Macaca mulatta: one gene and its partners. The protein of the gene in region 2 purifies or fractionates together with the protein of the main gene of each other region. This does not show direct contact. Links are inferred from orthologs where the notes say so. Each region holds a gene or a part of one and is shown on either strand. Other genes may lie near its edges.

What was found.
Region 1: the proteins of HSF1 (region 2) and HSPBP1 purify together in Homo sapiens (affinity purification with mass spectrometry; 5 studies listed by BioGRID and IntAct, counting the BioPlex papers as one, with this or other methods). This does not show direct contact. The link is inferred for Macaca mulatta from reciprocal best matches to the Homo sapiens genes HSF1 and HSPBP1.
Region 3: the proteins of HSF1 (region 2) and HNRNPA2B1 purify together in Homo sapiens (affinity purification with mass spectrometry; 3 studies listed by BioGRID, with this or other methods). This does not show direct contact. The link is inferred for Macaca mulatta from reciprocal best matches to the Homo sapiens genes HSF1 and HNRNPA2B1.

Annotation. Positions count from the first base shown.
Region 1 is NC_133424.1:67,615,458-67,621,575, forward strand, and holds the start of HSPBP1 (hsp70-binding protein 1), read right to left. Parts: upstream 3,503-6,118; 5' UTR 3,360-3,502; coding exon 2,997-3,359; intron 2,581-2,996; exon of another isoform or gene 2,518-2,580; intron 1,037-2,517; exon of another isoform or gene 965-1,036; intron 1-964. UniProt on the Homo sapiens protein: Inhibits HSPA1A chaperone activity by changing the conformation of the ATP-binding domain of HSPA1A and interfering with ATP binding. Interferes with ubiquitination mediated by STUB1 and inhibits chaperone-assisted degradation of immature CFTR.
Region 2 is NC_133413.1:154,683,276-154,689,311, reverse strand, and holds the start of HSF1 (heat shock factor protein 1), read right to left. Parts: upstream 3,765-6,036; 5' UTR 3,750-3,764; coding exon 3,516-3,749; intron 2,418-3,515; exon of another isoform or gene 622-2,417; intron 1-621. Other genes in the region: ribosome biogenesis protein BOP1, read left to right, coding at 4,510-4,608. UniProt on the Homo sapiens protein: Functions as a stress-inducible and DNA-binding transcription factor that plays a central role in the transcriptional activation of the heat shock response (HSR), leading to the expression of a large class of molecular chaperones, heat shock proteins (HSPs), that protect cells from cellular insult damage.
Region 3 is NC_133408.1:102,186,247-102,192,107, reverse strand, and holds the start of HNRNPA2B1 (heterogeneous nuclear ribonucleoproteins A2/B1), read right to left. Parts: upstream 3,503-5,861; 5' UTR 3,349-3,502; coding exon 3,343-3,348; intron 600-3,342; coding exon 564-599; intron 466-563; coding exon 355-465; intron 194-354; coding exon 47-193; intron 1-46. Other genes in the region: CBX3 (chromobox protein homolog 3), read left to right, coding at 5,789-5,812. UniProt on the Homo sapiens protein: Heterogeneous nuclear ribonucleoprotein (hnRNP) that associates with nascent pre-mRNAs, packaging them into hnRNP particles.

The sequences.
Region 1 (6,118 bases), on a different chromosome or scaffold from region 2:
GGAGTGCCGAACTGCGGCTGCAGAATTAAACAGGTCGGGGCCGGGTGCGATGACTCACACCTGTAATACCAGCACTTTGGGAGGCTGAGGCAGGAGGATCACTTGAGCCCAGGAATTTAAGAGCAGCCTGGGTAACATGGCGATACCCCATCTCCACACAAAAAAAGTTTTTTTTTTTTTGAGACGGAGTCTCGCTGTGTCGCCCAGGCTGGAGTGCAGTGGCCGGATCTCAGCTCACTGCAAGCTCTGCCTCCCGGGTTTTTACGCCATTCTCCTGCCTCAGCCTCCCGAGTAGCCGGGACTACAGGCGCCCGCCACCTCGCCCGGCTAGTTTTTTGTATTTTTTTTTTTTTTTTAGTAGAGACGGGGTTTCACCGTGTTAGCCAGGATGGTCTCGAACTCCTGACCTCGTGATCCGCCCGTCTCGGCCTCCCAAAGTGCTGGGATTACAGGCTTGAGCCACCGCGCCCGGCCACAAAAAAAGTTTTAAATTAGCTGGGCATGGTGGTGCATGCCTGTGGTCCCAGTTACTCAGAAAGCTGAGTGGAGTGGATGGCTGGAGCCTAGGAATTTAAGGCTGCAGTGAGTGAGACCTTGTCTCTAAAAAAAAAGAAAAGAAAAAGAAATGGGTTGGTCATTGAGGGTCCCAGGGAGGCGACTTGCGAGAAAAGCAGTAGGTGAGGGACTGAGCCAGGCCACATCTAGAAGTGGTTGCAGGCAGAGGGCACCACCAGGAGGCCAGTGTGGTGGAGGCAGAGTGAGCAAGGAGAAAGGGAGAGGGGAGGGGAGCAGGTGATTATCAGGTCTTGCAAACTTTTGTAAAAACCTGGGATTTCCCTCTGAATAGGTGTGGGAGCTGCCGGAGGGCTCTAAGCAGAGGAGTGGGGACACCTGCATTGCTGTTGATTGAGAACAGATGGAGGAGGGGCAACGGCAGGTGCAGGAATATGAAACAGGAGGCTACGGCTGGGAGCAGGCAGGAGAGAAGGTGGTGTGGAGCGGGAAGGAGAGAGGAGTGGGGAGAAACGGTCAGACCCTGGACTGACTTTGAAAAGAGAGCCCGTTTGATTTAGTGAGATACGAGGTGTGACAGAAAGAGAGGTCAAGGATGACTCCGAGGTCTCTGTTCTGAGCAACCAGGAAAAGATGGGGAAATGGTGGGAAAAGCAGGTTTGGGGTGGGAAGAGCAGGGATTTCAGCTCATTTTCAAATGTGTCAAATTTGAGGGATCTATTACACACCCAAGGCAAAAGACTGAGGAAGCTGCCTGAAGCCCAGGCGGAGGTGCAGCCCGGACCAGGATTTCCCAACTTCAGCTTTACTGACACTTTGAGCTGGATAGTTCTCCGTGGTGTGACCGTCCCGTGAACCACAGGATGCTGAGCAGCATCCCTGGCCTTCACGCACTGGATGCCGGTATCCCCCTTCCTCCAGTTGTGACAACCAAGAATGTTTCCACACCAATTGTCCCCTGGGGAATAAAAATCACCCCCAGTGAAGGATCACTGGCCTAGAGATATAAATTTGAGATTTGTCAGAATAAAGCCTTACAACAATATGAGGCCGGGCACGGTGGCTCACGCCTGTAATCGAGCACTTTGGGAAGCTGAGGCGGGCCGATCGCCTTGAGGTCAGGAGTTCGAGACCAGAATGGCCAACAGGGTGAAACCCCGTCTCTACTAAAAATACAAAAATTAGCCAGCCGTGGTGGCGTGTGCCTGTAATCCCAGCTACTCGGGAGGCTGAGGCAAAGGGAATTGCCTGAACCTGAGAGACAGAGGTTGCATGAGCTGAGATCATACCACTGCACTCCAGCCGGGGCAACAGAGTGAGACTCTATCTCAAAGAAAAAGGAGATGAGCGCTAATAAGTGACTGCTGGAATTTTGGGGGGTGAGGGAGGGGAGCAGAGGTCTCCTTAGTCACAGTTCTAAGTAAATTTGAGTGAGCTATTTAATGTTTCTGTGCCTGTTTCATGCCTCACTGTCGTAAAGGTTCAATGACGTCATGTACGTAAGTGGGTTAGCATAATGCTCTGTATACAGTAATTGCCAATTAAACATTATATATAATAACTATTCCTATTAATCTGCAAAACAACTCTATGAGGTATATGTATTATTGTTATCCCCACTTCACAGACGAGAAAGTTGAGTCACAGAAAGGTTGAGACTTACCCAAGGTCACACAGTCAGCAATTGACAAAGCCTGAAATCAAACCCAAGCAGTCTAGGCTGGGCGTGGCGGCTCACATCTGTAATCTCACCACTTTGGGAGGCTGAGGCAGATGGATCACTTGAGGCCGGGAGTTCGAGACCAGCCTGGCCAATATAGTGAAACCCCTTCTCTACTAAAAATATGAAAACTAGCCAGGCATGGTGGCCCATGCCTCTAATCCCAGCTACTAGGGAGGCTGAGGCACGATAATTGTTTGAACCGGGAAGGCAGCGGTTGCAGTGAGCCAAGATTGCGCCTCTGCACTCCAACCGAGACTGTGTCCCCCACCCCTACCCCCCACCAAAAAAAAAAAAAAAAAAACAAGCAGTCCGACTACAGAGCCTGTGCTCTTCATGAAAACATACTGCTGTCTTCAGAAGCACTGCCTGTATGCTGGACACTGTGTGCAGCCCTACTTAAAGTAGAACCTCAGAACTACCCTATACCGTAGTTATTATTATTATCAATTTGTAAATGAAGAACTTGAGACTCAGAAAGATGAAGTAATATATCCAAGGTCACACAGCTGGACAATGCTGGATCCAGGTCGGTCTGGCTCTGGAGAGGATATGTCCCCCCAGACTCTCTTGAGATCTGACCTTCAGTCAACAACGACCCCATCTAGCACAAATTATAGCCTACAATGCCTCCACACCTGGACTCCTGCCACCCACCCAAGAAGACCCTAGTCTTCTTGTGGCTCCCCAAGTCACACTTCCCAAGGCACCTCTATCTGTCTCCAGGCCCCTCACCCCAGCTTCTTGGGTCCCCATCTTTTACCTCCTCACTCATGGGTTCTGGAGGAGGGTCTGGCTCTTCAGAGCCCGCGGTGATGGCCATCTGCAGCAAGCCTTGGAGGTTGCGTGGGGGCCGGGAATTGCCCGAGCCCCCAGCCGAGGAGGAGCCGCCGCCGCCGCCGCCGCCGCCGCCCCCTGAAGAGCAACCCTGGGAGGCCGGGGGCAGCGCCAGGGGCAGGCGGCTGCCTCTTGAGCCTTCGTCTGACATGGGCCGTTTGTGAAGAAGGGAAGAACGTGTTAGGGGGAGAAGGTGGTCACCGCTGAAGCAGCTCTGGCGTCCTGATGGGTCGATTCTTGAGGGTCTGCTGAGAAGGTGGCGTTTTAGGGGAGCTCGGCGCCCCCCCATGACCCCAAACGACTCTGTCCCCAGCCCACTCAACCACAGCCCCTTTTCCTTCCTTCATACCCACAGGACCCTTCCCCAAAGTCATAAGCCCCTCCTTTCTCCCTAGCAACACGCCCCACCCACTCTCCCTGGCAACAACCCCCCTTCCCCATCTCCAATGCGTGCGTCCCGTCTCTTAGCAACCTCACTGCCCCGCCTCCGTAGCAACAAGCCCGCCCTTTGGTCTCCTTAGCAACAAGTCTTCTCCCTCCTCTCCGAAGAGGGGCGCCGGAATAGGGCGGATCTCACCTCCCCGGGTCCTCAAGCCGCCGCTGCTCCTACGGACAAAGTCGTCCGCACCTGACTCTACTGGGCGCCGCCATCTTAACCGGAAATACGCACGGTTTCACCCGGAAGTGCTTGGCGTAGCCACCCAACTTCGTGCCGTGGATGCCGCTGAAGCTGCTTGCCAGACTATTATTCTCTTCTCACCTGGCCAGATACTGCCCTCGGCCCCGCCCCTCCCATCCAGGCCCCGCCTCCAAGCTAGGACGCACCTTCGTGCGGGCCCCGCCCCTTCACGCTCAAGTCGCTGGTCAAAGCTCCGCCCCTGGCCCAGTTTTCGCACTTCAGCGAGTCCCGCCCCCGATCTTTATTGCAAGCTCCACCCCTGTTCTAATATGTTCCCCGCCCCCAGGTCTGACCCCGCCCACACTACTATTCCCGCCCCTGTTCTAGGTGTTTCAGCCTCTCCCAGTTAGGCCCCGCCCCCTTTCCAGGCCCCTCCCACTCATTGCTGTGGGTCATCCTTAGAAGGTTTGGGGCCTCGCCCCCCTAATCTGACTTTCGCTTCCACCGGGGCCACCACCCCATCTACTGGAGCCCTGGGGCCGCAACTGTGATGGCTGGCCTGTGAGCCTTGGGTCCCCGGCAACCCCTCTCTCGGCCTCAGTTTCTCCATCTGTCAAATGGAGCTGCGGCATGGACCCGTCTCATCACCCAGCCTCTCGCTCATGGACTCTTCCCCATGTCCTGCCAGGTGGAGAGGAGAGGATTCTTGAGACCTGGAGCCGGAAAGCAAAGTGCCCCAGAGCCCAGCAAGATTCAGAGCGCCAGAGGAGCCAGCTTGGTGGGGAGGCCCGAGGCCTCCGTGCTCCAGAAGTGGGGTTTAGGCCTGGGCACGTGCTGATGCGGCCCCAGTCTGCAGAGGTGTTGGCCCTGTACTGGGCTTAAAGAAAGTCTCATGTTGGTGCTGGATAGGAGGCGTTTTCCCCCAGGAAAAGGTTGTGCTCAACGCAAAACGGGCACGCAGTCACAAACGTATCGAGCACCTGCTGGGTGTGGTTGTGCAAGGGGATATTTTGGGCAGAAACAGGAAGACCCAACAGATAGGCTGTGTGTGTGTGTGTGTGTGTGTGTGTGTATGTGTGTGTGTGTGTATGGTGTTTCCAGCACTGTGTTGTGAGATGCGTCTGGGCCTGTGGATGTGCTATTATATTAGTTTCCTATTGCTGCTGTTAACAAATTACTAAAAATGTGGTGGCTTAAAACAGCACACATTTATTATCTTGCAGTTTTGGAGGGCAGAAATCCAAAATGGGTTTCACAGAACTGAAATCAAACTGTCAGCAGGATTGCATCGCTTCTGGAGGCTCTCGGGGAGAATGTTTTTCTTGCCTTTTCCAGCTTCTAGAGGCCACACTCGTTCTTTGACAGGTGGCCCCATCACCCCAAGCTCTGCTTCCATCTTCCCGTCTCCATCACTGACTGCTCCTCCTGCCTCCTTCTCACAAATACTCTTGTGATTCCATCGAGCTCACCCAAATAACTGGGATAATCTCCCTATCTCAGTCACATGGGCAAAGTCCCTTCAGCCATGCAAGGTAACCTATGCACAGATCCTGGGAATTAGGATGCGGACATCTATGTACACGTCTATCAGTTTATAATACATGGCCGAGGGCAGTGGCTCAGGTCTATAATCTCAATACTTTGGGAGGCCAAGGTGGGAGGATCACTTGAACCCAAGAGTTCGAGACCAGCCTGGGCAACATAGTGTGACCGCATCCCTACAAAAAAATACAAGAATTAGCCATGTGTGATGGCATCTGCCTATAGTCACAGCTATGCAGGAGGCTGAGGCAGGAGGATCACTTGAGCCCGGGAGGACGAGGCTGCAGGGACCTATGATTGCCCCACTGCACCCCAGCCTGGGCAACAGGGGGAAGACCCTGTCTCAAAAAAACAAAACAAAACAAAATAAAAAGAGGGTAATCATATAATTTTTCATCTACAGCAAGACATTTGAGAGCAAAAAGGGACCCATTAATGCCTCCAGAACCAGGAGGCAGATCCCTCCTGTTAATAGTTACAGAGCCAGGCCAGGTGTGGTAGCTCACACCTGTAATCCCAGCACTTTGGGAGGCTGAGGTGGGCAGATCACTAGGTCAGGAGTTCGAGACCAGCCTGACCAACATGATGAAATCCCATCTCTACTAAAAATACAAAAATTAGCCTGGCACGGTGGCAGGTGCCTGTAATCCCAGCTACTTGGGAGGCTGAGGCAGGAGAACTGCTTGAACCTGGGATGTAGAGGTCGTAGTGAGCTGAGATTGCGCCATTGCACTCCAGCCTGGGTGACAGAGCAAGATTCCATCTCAAAAAAAAAAAAAAAAAAAAGTTACAGAACCAGCCTGGCCAACAGGGTGAAACCCCATCTCTACCAAAAATACAAAAAAAAAAAAAAAAAAAAAGCTGGGTGCCTAAAATTGCACCCTGCT
Region 2 (6,036 bases):
GAAACCCTATCTCTACTAAAAAATACAAAAATTAGCCGGGTGTGGCCTCGGTGACAGAGTGAGACTCTGTCTCAAAAAAACAAAACAAAACAAAAACTCAACAACAACAAAAAAATGAAGTATATGTTCATTTTTTTAAAAAAGTATTTTAGAAAAATATAACTATAAAAATTATCTGGGCTGGGTACAGTGGCTCACATCTGTAATCCCAGCACTTTGAGAGACTGAGGCAGGCGGATCACAAGGTCAGGAGTACTAGCCCAGCCTGACAAACATGGTGAAACCCTGTCTCTACTAAAAATACAAAAAAAATTAGTCGGGTGTCGTGGTGGGTGCCTGTAATCCCATACTCAGGAGGCTGAAGCAGGAGAATCACTTGAACCCCGGAGACAGAGGTTAAAGTGAGCCGAGATCGTGTCATTGTACTCCAGCCTGGGCAACTCCATCTCAAAAAAAAAAAAAAAAAAAATCCGTAATCTCACCATCTCGGATGTCAAGATTACTTTTCATACTTCCTTATTTTGTTAATAAAGGTGGGACAAAATCATAGCTTGTAAAAAACTGAGATGATGGTGAACCCAGTTCTGAGGCTTCACTTTCTGCTTCTGTTTGGGTCTCCACGCTGTCAAATTCTCCGAAGAGGCTGCTGCCCTCCTGAGTCAGCTGCACCCAGCAAGGCCCTAGAAGAGCCTCCGCTGGTGGACAGAGGAGCTGCTGCATGCAGAGGAGGAAGCTGGGCTGAGGGCTGGCACCAGGGCACGGGGCAGGGAGGCTGCGGGTCCCTGGTCTCACGGGTCTCAGTTCTATGGAGCTGCCTGTCAGTCCAGGTATTCAGTCCCCCAACCCCGTCTTTGGGTCTCAGTGGTACTGGATCCAGGCACACCTTTGGGATAAGCTGTTAAAAAGCTGGCTGAGGGAGGACCACCCACGTCCATGCCCATGCTCCTATGTGGATCTCCCGGGATCATAACCTTGTGGCTGACACGTTTCCTCTCCAAGGCAGATGGGGCTGTGCTGTCCTCCACGACTTGCTGGGTCCCCTCAAGGCCTCTGCCTGTGTGGGTGGGGTGCTCATGGGAATGAGGGTCTGGGGGGTGGGAAATCGAACACCACAGGGATGGGGCCATAGTCCCCACCAAATGGGCTCTCCTGGACAGTGACCCGGCATTCTGCCTCCAGTGGCTGCAGTGGGAGTCCCGATCTCAGGCCAGGGAGGGGAAGTGCAATGGTTGTCCAGAGCTGGTCCCATTCCTGGCCAGGCTCAGTAAAGTCACTGGCCAGTTTCTGGGCCTCAGTCTCCCCCAAGTTATTCAGCCTGGAGAATTAGTCACCATGCCTGTGATTCTGCCTCATCTTCTTGTGTCAAACAGGGAGGGTTTTTCTTGGCAGAATGGTGGTAAGACTTTGAGCCAGGAGACTGTCCCAGAGAAGGCAGCAGAGAGCAAGAGCACCAGGGCCTTCTCAAGGCCTCCGAGAGCCAGCTGGGCCTGGGCAGTAGATTTGTGGGAGGGTCCCCTGTTGGGACTCTGCCGACATGGAGTCCTCAGGGCTTGTGTGAGTGCTCTCAAAGCCACAGGATGGGACGATCACCTCCTTTCTCCAGGCCACGCAGCCAGCGCCAGAAAGCTCTGCAGCTCCCTGCACAGTCTGGAGAAGGGCTTCCTTCCAGTTTGAAGTCAGTGTTTCTATCTCATTGCCATGCTCGCCCCCACTGCTACATCCTGCACCAACCATTGCCACTTTATACTGACCAGGTGGAACCAAACACTGACATTCCACACGGCTCCCCATCCCTCCCCAGGGAGAACAGGCCCACAGGTGGTGCACCTGTGAGGAGAGTGGAGGCTGGCCACAGGCCTCATCAAATCTGCCTCCCTTGCTCAAAAGCCCTGCCCAGAACATGCCTCGGTCTCAAAAAAGAGTACACTGGGACCTAACCCACATGCCTCATAATCTTTTAAGCAGAAACAGCAAGCAGATTATGGGACAGGACAGATCATGCTAGTAGGATTAAGCTTAGAATATCCCAGATAATCTCAGATGCCCCTCCCCCAATGGGGCAAGAGAGTACTTCTGAGGGTTAAGGGGAATAAGAAAAAGAAGGAAGGGCTGGGTGCAGTGGCTCACACCTGTAATCCCAGCACTTAGGGAGGCCAAGGCAGGTGGATAACTTGAGGTCAGGAGTTCCAGACCAGGCTGGCTGATGTGGTGAAACCCCGTCTCTACTAAAAATACAACAATCAGCCAGGTGTGGTGGCGTGCATCTGTAGTCCTGGCTACTCGGGAGGCTGAGGCAGGAGAATTGCTTGAACCTGGGAGGTGGAGGTCGTAGTGAGACAAGATCGCACCACTGCACTCCAACCTGGGTGACAGAGCGAGAAGCCGTCTCAAAAAAAAAAAAAAAAAAAAAAAAAGAAAGAAAGAAAACGAAAGACGGATAAAAGAAAACAGAAACATGGGAATACTTCCTCTGCACAAAAATGCCAAGGTCTAGAATGAAGAGATGGTGAAATGAAGTCAGCCTGCAGGAAGGCGCACTGCGCCGTAATGGGACTTGGGGATGGGAAGGCCGACACAGACAGAGGTGTCAGCAGGACAAATACAAAGTGTTTCTGAAAAGAGCAAAGATTTCCAGTCCTCTCTTTATTCCCAAACACTCTGTAGGTAAAGCAGGGCCTCAGTAAACCCGAGAAGCAGAAGGCCTGGCCTCCTGCCTGGAGCAGCTTCAGTTCAGACTTTTCTTCATTCCTAACAGCAGAAAGAGGCTGTGCAAATGGGAGGCCCTCAGCAGAGCCTGAGGAACTCTGGGGTCTTAGCTCCTGGGAGGCCACACATGCTTGGTGGCATCCCGCCTGTCACGGTCCCTCCAAAAGCTCCCAGTGATCAGTGGCCTTTCTTTTTTCTTTTTTTTCTTAAGACAGGGTCTCATTCTTTGCCAGGCTGGAGTGCAGTGGTGGAATCTCGGTTCAGTGCAACCTCTGCCTCCCAGGTTCAGGGGATCCTCCTATCTCAGCCTCCCAAGTAGCTAGGACCACAGGCAAGCACCACCACGCCCGGCTAATTTTTTGTATTTTTAGTAGAGTCGGGGTTTTGCCATATTGTCTTGGCTGGTCTCGAACTCCTGGCCTCAAGTGATCTACCCGCCGCCACCTCCCAAAGTGCTGCTTTCACAGCAAAGAGTCACCCCGCTCGGCCAGTGTGGCCTTTCTTCAGGCCATCACTTGCCAGCCACAGGCTGTGGCTCTGCCCCTCACCGGACACGACGTCACAGCCGGGATGTGAACAGCAGATTTTGATCTCCAACTCCAGACAATCACTGATTTACTTCTGCAAACCGGAGCTGTCCGGTCTTGCAGGGTCGGACCGTGTAAACAAGCCTGCTGCCAGGCAACTGAAGATAAAGACACGAGTAAAGACGCCCCACAAGGAATGAAAAACAAAACTCCTCCTGGGAAACCCAGATTTGGGATTCGGAAACGGGCTTGAGATTAACCTGAAGCTTCATGACGTCTTACTTTCTGTTTCCACTGCCTTTCCTTTTCCACTACAGCGACGCCCTCCGCTTCACGTGCCAAGTCCTGACTTTCTCCGAATAGTTGCCGACCCAGCACCCCGTAGGCCGTCCCCCGGGGACGCCGATGTCCTCTGGAGCACAGCGTCCGCTGGCGAAGCCGGGTGCTTGCCCTAAGCGCGGACACTTCCGCAACCGCCCAACAGTTAGCAGAAGCCCGATGCAAGGGACGCCCCATTCTCCCATCCCAGGGAAACTTCGCTGGGGCAGCGGTTCAATCGGGTGTGGGTCTCGCAGCCGCTTTCCCAACTTAAGGCTCTGCGTTTGGGCAGGCTCGGGACCCGCCGCCCTTCCTGGCGGGGGCAGGGCAGGCTCCCCGCGCGTAAGCCGAGGTGTGGCAGGGCCCCTCCCCGCAGCCCTCCCGCGCCGTCCACCGCGGCCCTGCTCCCTCCCGGTCCCCACGGGCCCCGCGCCCGCGCGCTGCCCTCACCGGGCTCCAGCAGATGAGCGCGTCGGTGTCCGGGTCGCTCACGAGGGTCCACAGCTTGGTCAGGAAGGCCGGGACGTTGCTGGGCCCCGCCGCACCGGGGCCCACGGGCAGATCCATCTCGGGCAAGGCGGGAATAGGCGGAGGGAGCGGCCGCGAAGAGGGGCCGAGGGCCGGGCTAACGCCGTTGCCGCGCCAGCCGTCCGGGCCGAGCCGCCGCCCGCTGCGCACACACAGCCCCAAGGCCCAGCATGGCCGCCGCCATCTTGCAACGGGCGCGCTCCCGCCGCTGCCGCCGCCGCTGCCGCCCTCTCGCGTCCCCCCCCGGCGCGAGCACGCAGGCCCCGACCCCGCCCCGGCCCCCGGCCCCGCCGCGCGCCTGCGCGTGTTGGTCCCGCCCCCCCCCCGCCCGCCAATCGGGGCCGGGCTGGGCGGGGCGCGTCCTCCTGCGCACGCGGCCGTGTCACTGCCGGAAGCGGCTGTTCGGGTCGCGGCCGGCGCGCGGCGGGACATGGCGGGTTCGCGGGGCACGGGGCGCACGGCGGCGCCAAGCGTGCGGCCGGAGAAGCGGCGGTCGGAGCCCGAACTGGAGCCTGAGCCCGAGCCAGAGGTGACTGCGGCAATGCGGGGCGGCGAGGCGCGTCCCTAGAAGGCCCAGCGGGCACGTGGCCGCGCTGGGGCGGGTGGGCCCGGCTGCTGTCACCTGGGCGCCCGTGCCCAGTGAATCGGCCTTGGGCGTGGGCGCAGCTCCTCTATCGGGGGGTCTTAGGCAGAGCAGACTGCAGGGTGAAGGACGGCGTCCGGGAAGCAAAGAAACGGGGGTGCAGGGAGTGGGGATAAGCGCCCCTTGCAGCAGCCTCTCCGGCCGTTCCATTTGTGCGTCCTGCCAGTAAAAGGGCTCGGCTTGCGCCCCCAGTAAATGCTTAACCTACTTATGCGCTAGTTAATCACGTTTTTATGCTCATGGGATAGACGTGAGAATAAGAAAACCTGAATAGAACCCAGAGTCTGCTGCGTTTGTTGTATCAGAACTCACTGTTGCCCTCTGCCAGCTCAGCCCCGTCTTGGTTGTGGGGATCGTCAAATTGGGTGGTGGAGGGAATGGACAGCCAGCCTCTCACAGCCCCCTCGGCCGCGTTGGGTTGTTGAAACTGCCCCATTGCTTTGTGAAGCGAACTCAACTAATCCTGGTTCCCATGGGCTGAACGGCCCGCAGGCCGCTCTAGGCGCCAGGTTCTGCTGCTTGCACCCTTGAGTTAAATGCTCTTCAGGAGCCAGTTGTTTGTGCTCAGGCCATGCATGCCATTTCCACTAGTTATTGTGGTTGTGTAGCTGACTGAGTACCAAGACACATCATGACTGTGTGAGAGAGGCATTGTGTGAACACTCAGTATGCAATAGCTAATACATCCAGGTCGTACCTTAAGTGAGACTTGTAAACTATTAGGAAAGCAGTAAAATCTAGAATTCTACATTCAACTGCTTCCATTTTCTTTTCTTTCCTTTTTCTTTTTCTTTCTTTTCTTTTCTTTTCTTTTTTTTTTGAGATAGAGCCTTGCTCTGTTGCTCAGACTGGAGTGCAGTGGCACAATCTCGGCTCACTGCAGCTTCCATCTCCCGGGTACCTCAGCCTCCTGAGTAGCTGGGATTACAGGTACCTGCCACCACCAGCTATTTTTGTATTTTTAGTAGAGATGGTTTCACCATGTTGGCCAGGCTGGTCTTGAACTCCTGACCTCAGGTGATCCACCCCCCTCGGCCTCCCAAAGTGTTGGGATTATAGGCATGAGCTACTGTCCCTGGCCTTCAGCTGCTTCCTGAGTCTAAGTTCTTGTTCCACTTTTTAAGGCCAGTGAAGGACCTAAACACTGTGTGTGCTGGTGTCACGCAGCCAGCAGGGCTCTGCTCAGAGAGAGGAATGGGTGGGTTGGTGTGTGGTTGCAATTGGAGTCTGTCATTCCTGTGACTCGTCAGCCAGTCCTTTCATTTTGCTGATCAATGGTTGGTCCCAATCTGGTTAAATGAGGAGGCTTCTGCT
Region 3 (5,861 bases), on a different chromosome or scaffold from region 2:
CAGCATTCTTTATGTTAATTGCACAAGACAGTCATGGTTTGCTTACCTCTCTTGCTACAGCACGTTTTGGCTCAACTACTCTCCCATCAATTGAATGAGGTCTTGCAGCCATGGCAGCATCAACCTCAGCCATGGATGAGAAAGTTACAAAACCAAATCCTCTTGATCTTTTGCTTGCAGGATCCCTCATTACCTTTCAAACCAAAGAGCAAACTTTAGCATTTAATCTCATTATAACTTATAAGTAAACAGTCATTATAATAGAATTTACTATGCTGATATAGTTACTTCCTCCATGATTCACTTAAACAGCTACGATACTAACATACAGTAACAATTCAGTAACTTACGTACCACACAGTCTGTAAGCTTTCCCCATTGTTCGTAATAGTTCCTCAAACTTTCTTCTGTGGTTTCAAAGCTTAAGCCACCAATAAAGAGCTTACGGAACTGTTCCTTTTCTCTCTGCAAAGGAAAATACCATTTCAATTTTTATTTACATTTTCCTCTTTGTATGCAGGAAATTAAATTCTTAAATATGAGGTGACCTGCTGGCAGAGTACCTTTTTCCTCTCCAAAGGAACAGTTTCTAAAGTTTTCTGGGGGGGAAAAAAAAAACTTACATCAAATTTAAACCATATGTTAAACTGCATATTAGTTGTGTTACACCAAAAAAATTGCCTCAGCTGATCTACACAAGTTTCAAAGTCATTAATGCTTGATCTAAATTTACTCAACATTAAATTATCTTAAACAAATGTATTATTACTTAATTTAAAAAATTTCTAAGGAGAAATGAACAAATGTAGACCGTGGTTATCAAAAGATTACTAAATCTTTACCAAAAATTTCAACCCTATAACCTAAAAACCCAGATTTCTATTTATAAACATCAGAAAATAACTTTTGGTTCGATGGTTATGACCCAAAGTTTTTATTTCACGATTCAGTAACATTTTCCCTTAACTGCCCCCTCTGGTGGTGATTCTAAGTATATTAGCCAAAAAAAAACTTTTTAAAATACTGTTTCTCCCTATGACTCTGACAAAAATATTTAAAATCATGATATGCATTAGCAATAACCTTAAAAATTACTTAAAACCAGGACAAATTCATTTTTATGACCAGCAGCACTCAAATCTTAAAAGTTTTAACAGGTTTTTGGTGGACACTGTCTATACAGGATATGACAATACAGAATATGAATTACTCAGCTTAACCTTATGTACAATAAAATACATTCACCTGGCATAATCTCTAAGCTAACTATTACTGAAAGCTGAAGCTTACTGAACTTGATTGGCCATGTGGCAAGCGACACGGCACGAAACAATTTTCTAACTCAATAGGAAAAACCTCAGAGTTGAAATCTTTAATACCTGCAAACAAGCAAATATGTCGTATTATACAACCCTGTATTTTGGGCAGTTAAGAATGTTAAGTAAACCTGTCTTAAAAGGTAACTACGTTAAAAAAAAAAAAATTAAACGAGAGGAAGTGATATCCAGGACCAACTACTACGAATGCATAATGCACACTAAAAAGTCACAAGTAATTTTGAATGAAGAATTATTTTTTGTTCCTAGCAAGAAGAATTGCTGCTCTCAGCCCAGTTCTACAGAGCTCTCTCCCTCCATTCACATGCTCCCAACTGCTAAAAAAAAAATAGTGGTAAATGCCAGTTCGGATTTTTTCCTGTAATTGTTTTCAGGACTGGTAAAAATTAAAAAAAAAAAAACATTAACCGAAATGATTAAACTACTTCCTATGAGACACAACGCAGTCTTGAAATGGTTACTTGCCAAAATAGATATTTTCATTTTCTCAATTAGTTTTTTCTTAATTGTCGTCAGCACATAGGTGTCTCTAAACTGAAATTACCGATAATGTACATTTATAACAAGTCTTACAGATCACTAACAAAAAGCAAAAACTCATTACTTACCTCACAATTTTTCCAAACTTACCCGATGTCCACTATCGATTTTAAACAATGTTATTTTATAAACGTGCTTAGGGTCAAAGAAAATAACCAGGTAGACCCCCTTCGCTTGAGACCTTATGCTTATCAATGTAATGTTCAACCAAGATTGCAAACATAAATGAGAAAAGTAACAAAGTTCAAATACAGAGCGGCCCAGGCCCAAAACAATTTTGCACAAAAATACACACGCATTACAGGAAAGAGCCTCTGAAGCCATGTTTTAACCGAAGTACAACTAAGGATAAAATCGTGATTTCGCTTTCCTCGTAATTTCTAACTAATCATCTATAATGATCCATGGAACTGTCCCGTAAGGATTAAACTTCTCAGGAAAAACATTACTTAAAATACGAGTCGGCTTTACAACTTAAGCGGAATCCTTAAGAACAGTAAAGGCTTCTGACGCGAATATCCCTCCCCCGCCCAGAAAACCATCCTCGTCCCTGCCCCTCGTGGCCGATGGCTTCCAAAGTGTTTATTTTTGCTGCTGTTCATCTGCCGTTTTAGTGACTGCAGACCCAAATATATCCGTTACTCAAATAAATTTAAAAAACAGGAAAACTACAAAACGGTTTCTTTGTCCTATGGCTCGCATTAAACCCGGCCCGACGCCCTGGGTGGTGGTATCTTCTCTGAAACCGGGCCCGCAAACCCGGAGCACCCCCCCGCCCGCTCTTCGGTGTGGCTTCCGAACGCAATGGCGCCATTTCATCGAGGGGAAGGCTGAGCGCCTTTAATGAGGTGCGCAGGACTCTAAAGATCCAAGCTCACAAAACACTCCAAATCCACCTCGAAACGATATGAAAAGAGCCCGAGAAGAAAGAAAAATAGTTAACCACTTCTATGCCTTGACAGAGAAAGCACACTAAAAGAATAAGAGAATTAAAAGAAAAACGCTGAGAGGAAGGCGAGCCATGAAAATGGCGGCCGCCAAATCCGGTTCCCGGGAGAGAGGGGGAGGGGAAGCTCCGCAGCCTCGCTCACGGGGACCCGCTGCCCGCCGCAACACTCGCCGCGGAGACGCCGTGGCCCCCGAAGCACCGTGCTTTAAAAAGGGAATAAGAATTCCCGCCTCCGCGCCCCACTTTCACTCCAGCGGGGCAGCGTCCGCCATGTGAAAGCTCCCCATCCCCCACCCCCAGTGAAGGGAAATGGCGCCGGGAGGCCGAGGGTGGGGAAGCTTGTTTGTACGCTCAGGCCTCCGGTCAAGACCCCGTTCATAAACCTCAAGCCCCACTGCTACTGAAGCGGTCCGATTTCCTGCCGCTCTCCCACGGAGGCGGCCGGCCGACTTCCACAAGGGGGCCAACGGCCTCGCCATGCCCTTTCCAATAACTCATTGATTTCAAACCCGTTACCTCCATCGCGGACTCAGTCGCTTCAGCCCGATTTCCCGCAGCCGAGCGAGATGAGAGAGATCTCCGCGGACGAACACGAACCGGACTCGTCCTGGCGCTGTAGTGAGAACTGCCGCTGCTCGAGAAACAACACCGCTAGGAGTACCTCCGCACGGGACCCGGCGCTGCTGCTACTGCCGCTAGAGCCGCTGCCGCCGCTTTTCTAGAACCTTCCCCCCCACTAACGCGTCTTCCTCTACGTCAGGCCGTTGCGTAAACGCCCTAACCGCCGCCAATGGCGGGAAGGCTCTACGCCCCTCCTTACGCCAAATGCGTACTCCTCCCCCTCCTGTGGCCAGCGACAGTGCCCGACGCTACTTCCGTAAATGCGCTCAGTGAATTGCGGAAGGCTCGAGTCCCGCGAGTTACTACCTCTCGGAATAGGGTCCCGCCCCCCGCCTTGGCGCAAGGCAGGTGAGAAACGGTCGCGCAGTTTGAAATTAACGCTGACGGGAGGAGCTTAATCCGGAGCCCGGAGTTCCAGCCCTCTCAACCTGGGAGGTGGTCCCTGCAGCTACGCCTTTGATAACCCCCGCCAGAAAAATCGTAGTATAATATGAGCCTTCCCTTTTCGTTCTCCGTGTCCCAACTCGGCGGATTGACTCGGCCCCTTCCGGAAACACCCGAATCAACTTCTAGTCAAATTATCGTTCACGCCACACTGACCTAACCCTGACCCGCGTCTATGCAGCTGACCCCTGGGGTACAGGAGGGGTCTCTGCTGAAAGTGGTCCCAAAGGGGTACTAGTTTTTAAGCTCCCAACTCTCTCTCCCCAAGCGTTTGGAGGATTCCGCACCCTCGCACCGCAGGGGCGAGGAAGTGGGCGGAGTCCGGTTTTGGCGCCAGCACTGAGGCTGCAAAGCAGAAAAGCCACCGCTGAGGAGACTCCGGTTACCGTCCTCGCCCCTCCTCCCCCCTCCCTCCCCTTGGGGACCACCAGGCGCCACGGGGCGAACGGTAAGTGCCGCGGTCTTCGCAGCCGCCCTCCCCCTAGGGCCCCAATTCCCAGCGGGTGCGGCGCGCGGCCCCTCCCCCCCGCCGGGCGCGCGCCCGCTGCCCCGCCCTTCGTGGCCGCCCGGCGTGGGCGGTGCCACCCCTCCCCCCCCCCCGGCGGCCCCGCGCACAGCTCCCGGCTCCCTCCCCCCTCGGATGTGGCTCGAGCTGTAGGCGCGCAAGGCCGGAGACGCTGCAGACCCGCGACCCGGAGCAGCTCAGAGGCGGTGAAGTCGGTGGTTTTCCTTCTCTCTAGCCCTCGCTCGGTGGTGGTGCATCAGATGCTGCACGCGCCCCGGGGGCCCGGTTCTCCGCTCCCCTCCCTTCCTTGCCGGACACCGCGCCGGGAGCTGCGGGAAGGAGTGGAGAGGGTCGGGCGGTGGCCTCGCGGCTGACCTGGCTCGGGGCCGGCGCCGGCAGTTAGTGGGGGGACTGTTCGGTCCTCGAGGGGGTAGGGAGCTGTGGCGACGGTCGCCCTATTTCGAGACAAAGCGCATTTTCCCTCCCCTCCCCCACCAGCGTTCCGGCGGAGGCGCCCCCTCCCCCAGCCGCCACGCGGGGCTGGGTCGAGACTTGGGCCTCCGGGAGGGCGGCGCGTGGTCCCGTGTCCGCGAGGCCTGGCGGCGTGCGGCCGACTGTCCCGAGGTTGCGGCGGCCGTCCCGTTAACGTGGCCGCCGCGGGGGGTAGGCGCGTGCCGTGTGGCGCAGTGCCCTTGAGCCCCCGCGCCGCGGCCTTTGTTTCTCCCTGCGGATGTGCTGACCACGAGGCCCGCGCTCCCGGGTGGGGGCGGGCAGCTGCGCTTAGGCCTCGGGACGCAGAGCTCCAGCGGAGAGGGTCGGAGGCGGAGGGGGAGCGGGTGTGTGCAAAAGGTGATTGCGTCTTCAAAGTGTCACGAAACGGGGTTGAAGCATCGTTAAGTTTTTTCCTTTAGTTAGTTAACTGCTGATTGGAAAAAGAGAGGGTTTCTGAGCAGAAACAAACTTAGGATTGCAGAACAGAGAAGATTCACAGGGGTTTACAGTTGTGAGTTGTTTGGGTAATCGTGCATGGTTTTAAACCGAAAGGATTGTCCTTTAAAAATGGAACATGGACTTGATTACAAATGGGACTTAGATTAGAAAAGATATTTGTCCCCTATGTTAAGCCATGTGAAGCTGCTTTAGGTACCAAGATCCCCAGTAAAGTCTTTCTAGACTCACATGTTTAGAACACGTACTTACGTGCATCATAAGCAATGTAGGTAGGAGCGCAAATCTACTCTGGATTTGTATCAACGTTTGAAATGTGCGCTCCCTACTTGGGGGTTGGAATCCAAACAGAACTTGTATTTAGTTACCTTTTTTGTGTCGTGCAAACTTCTCTTAACTGTCATGCATTTTTCTAGTAATAGTTCTTCAAGTCTGCAATAAAAAATGGCCTCCAATAAAACTACATTGGTAAGTTAATGAAAAGCTAAAGTATGTAAGGATTTAACCCAAGGTTTTT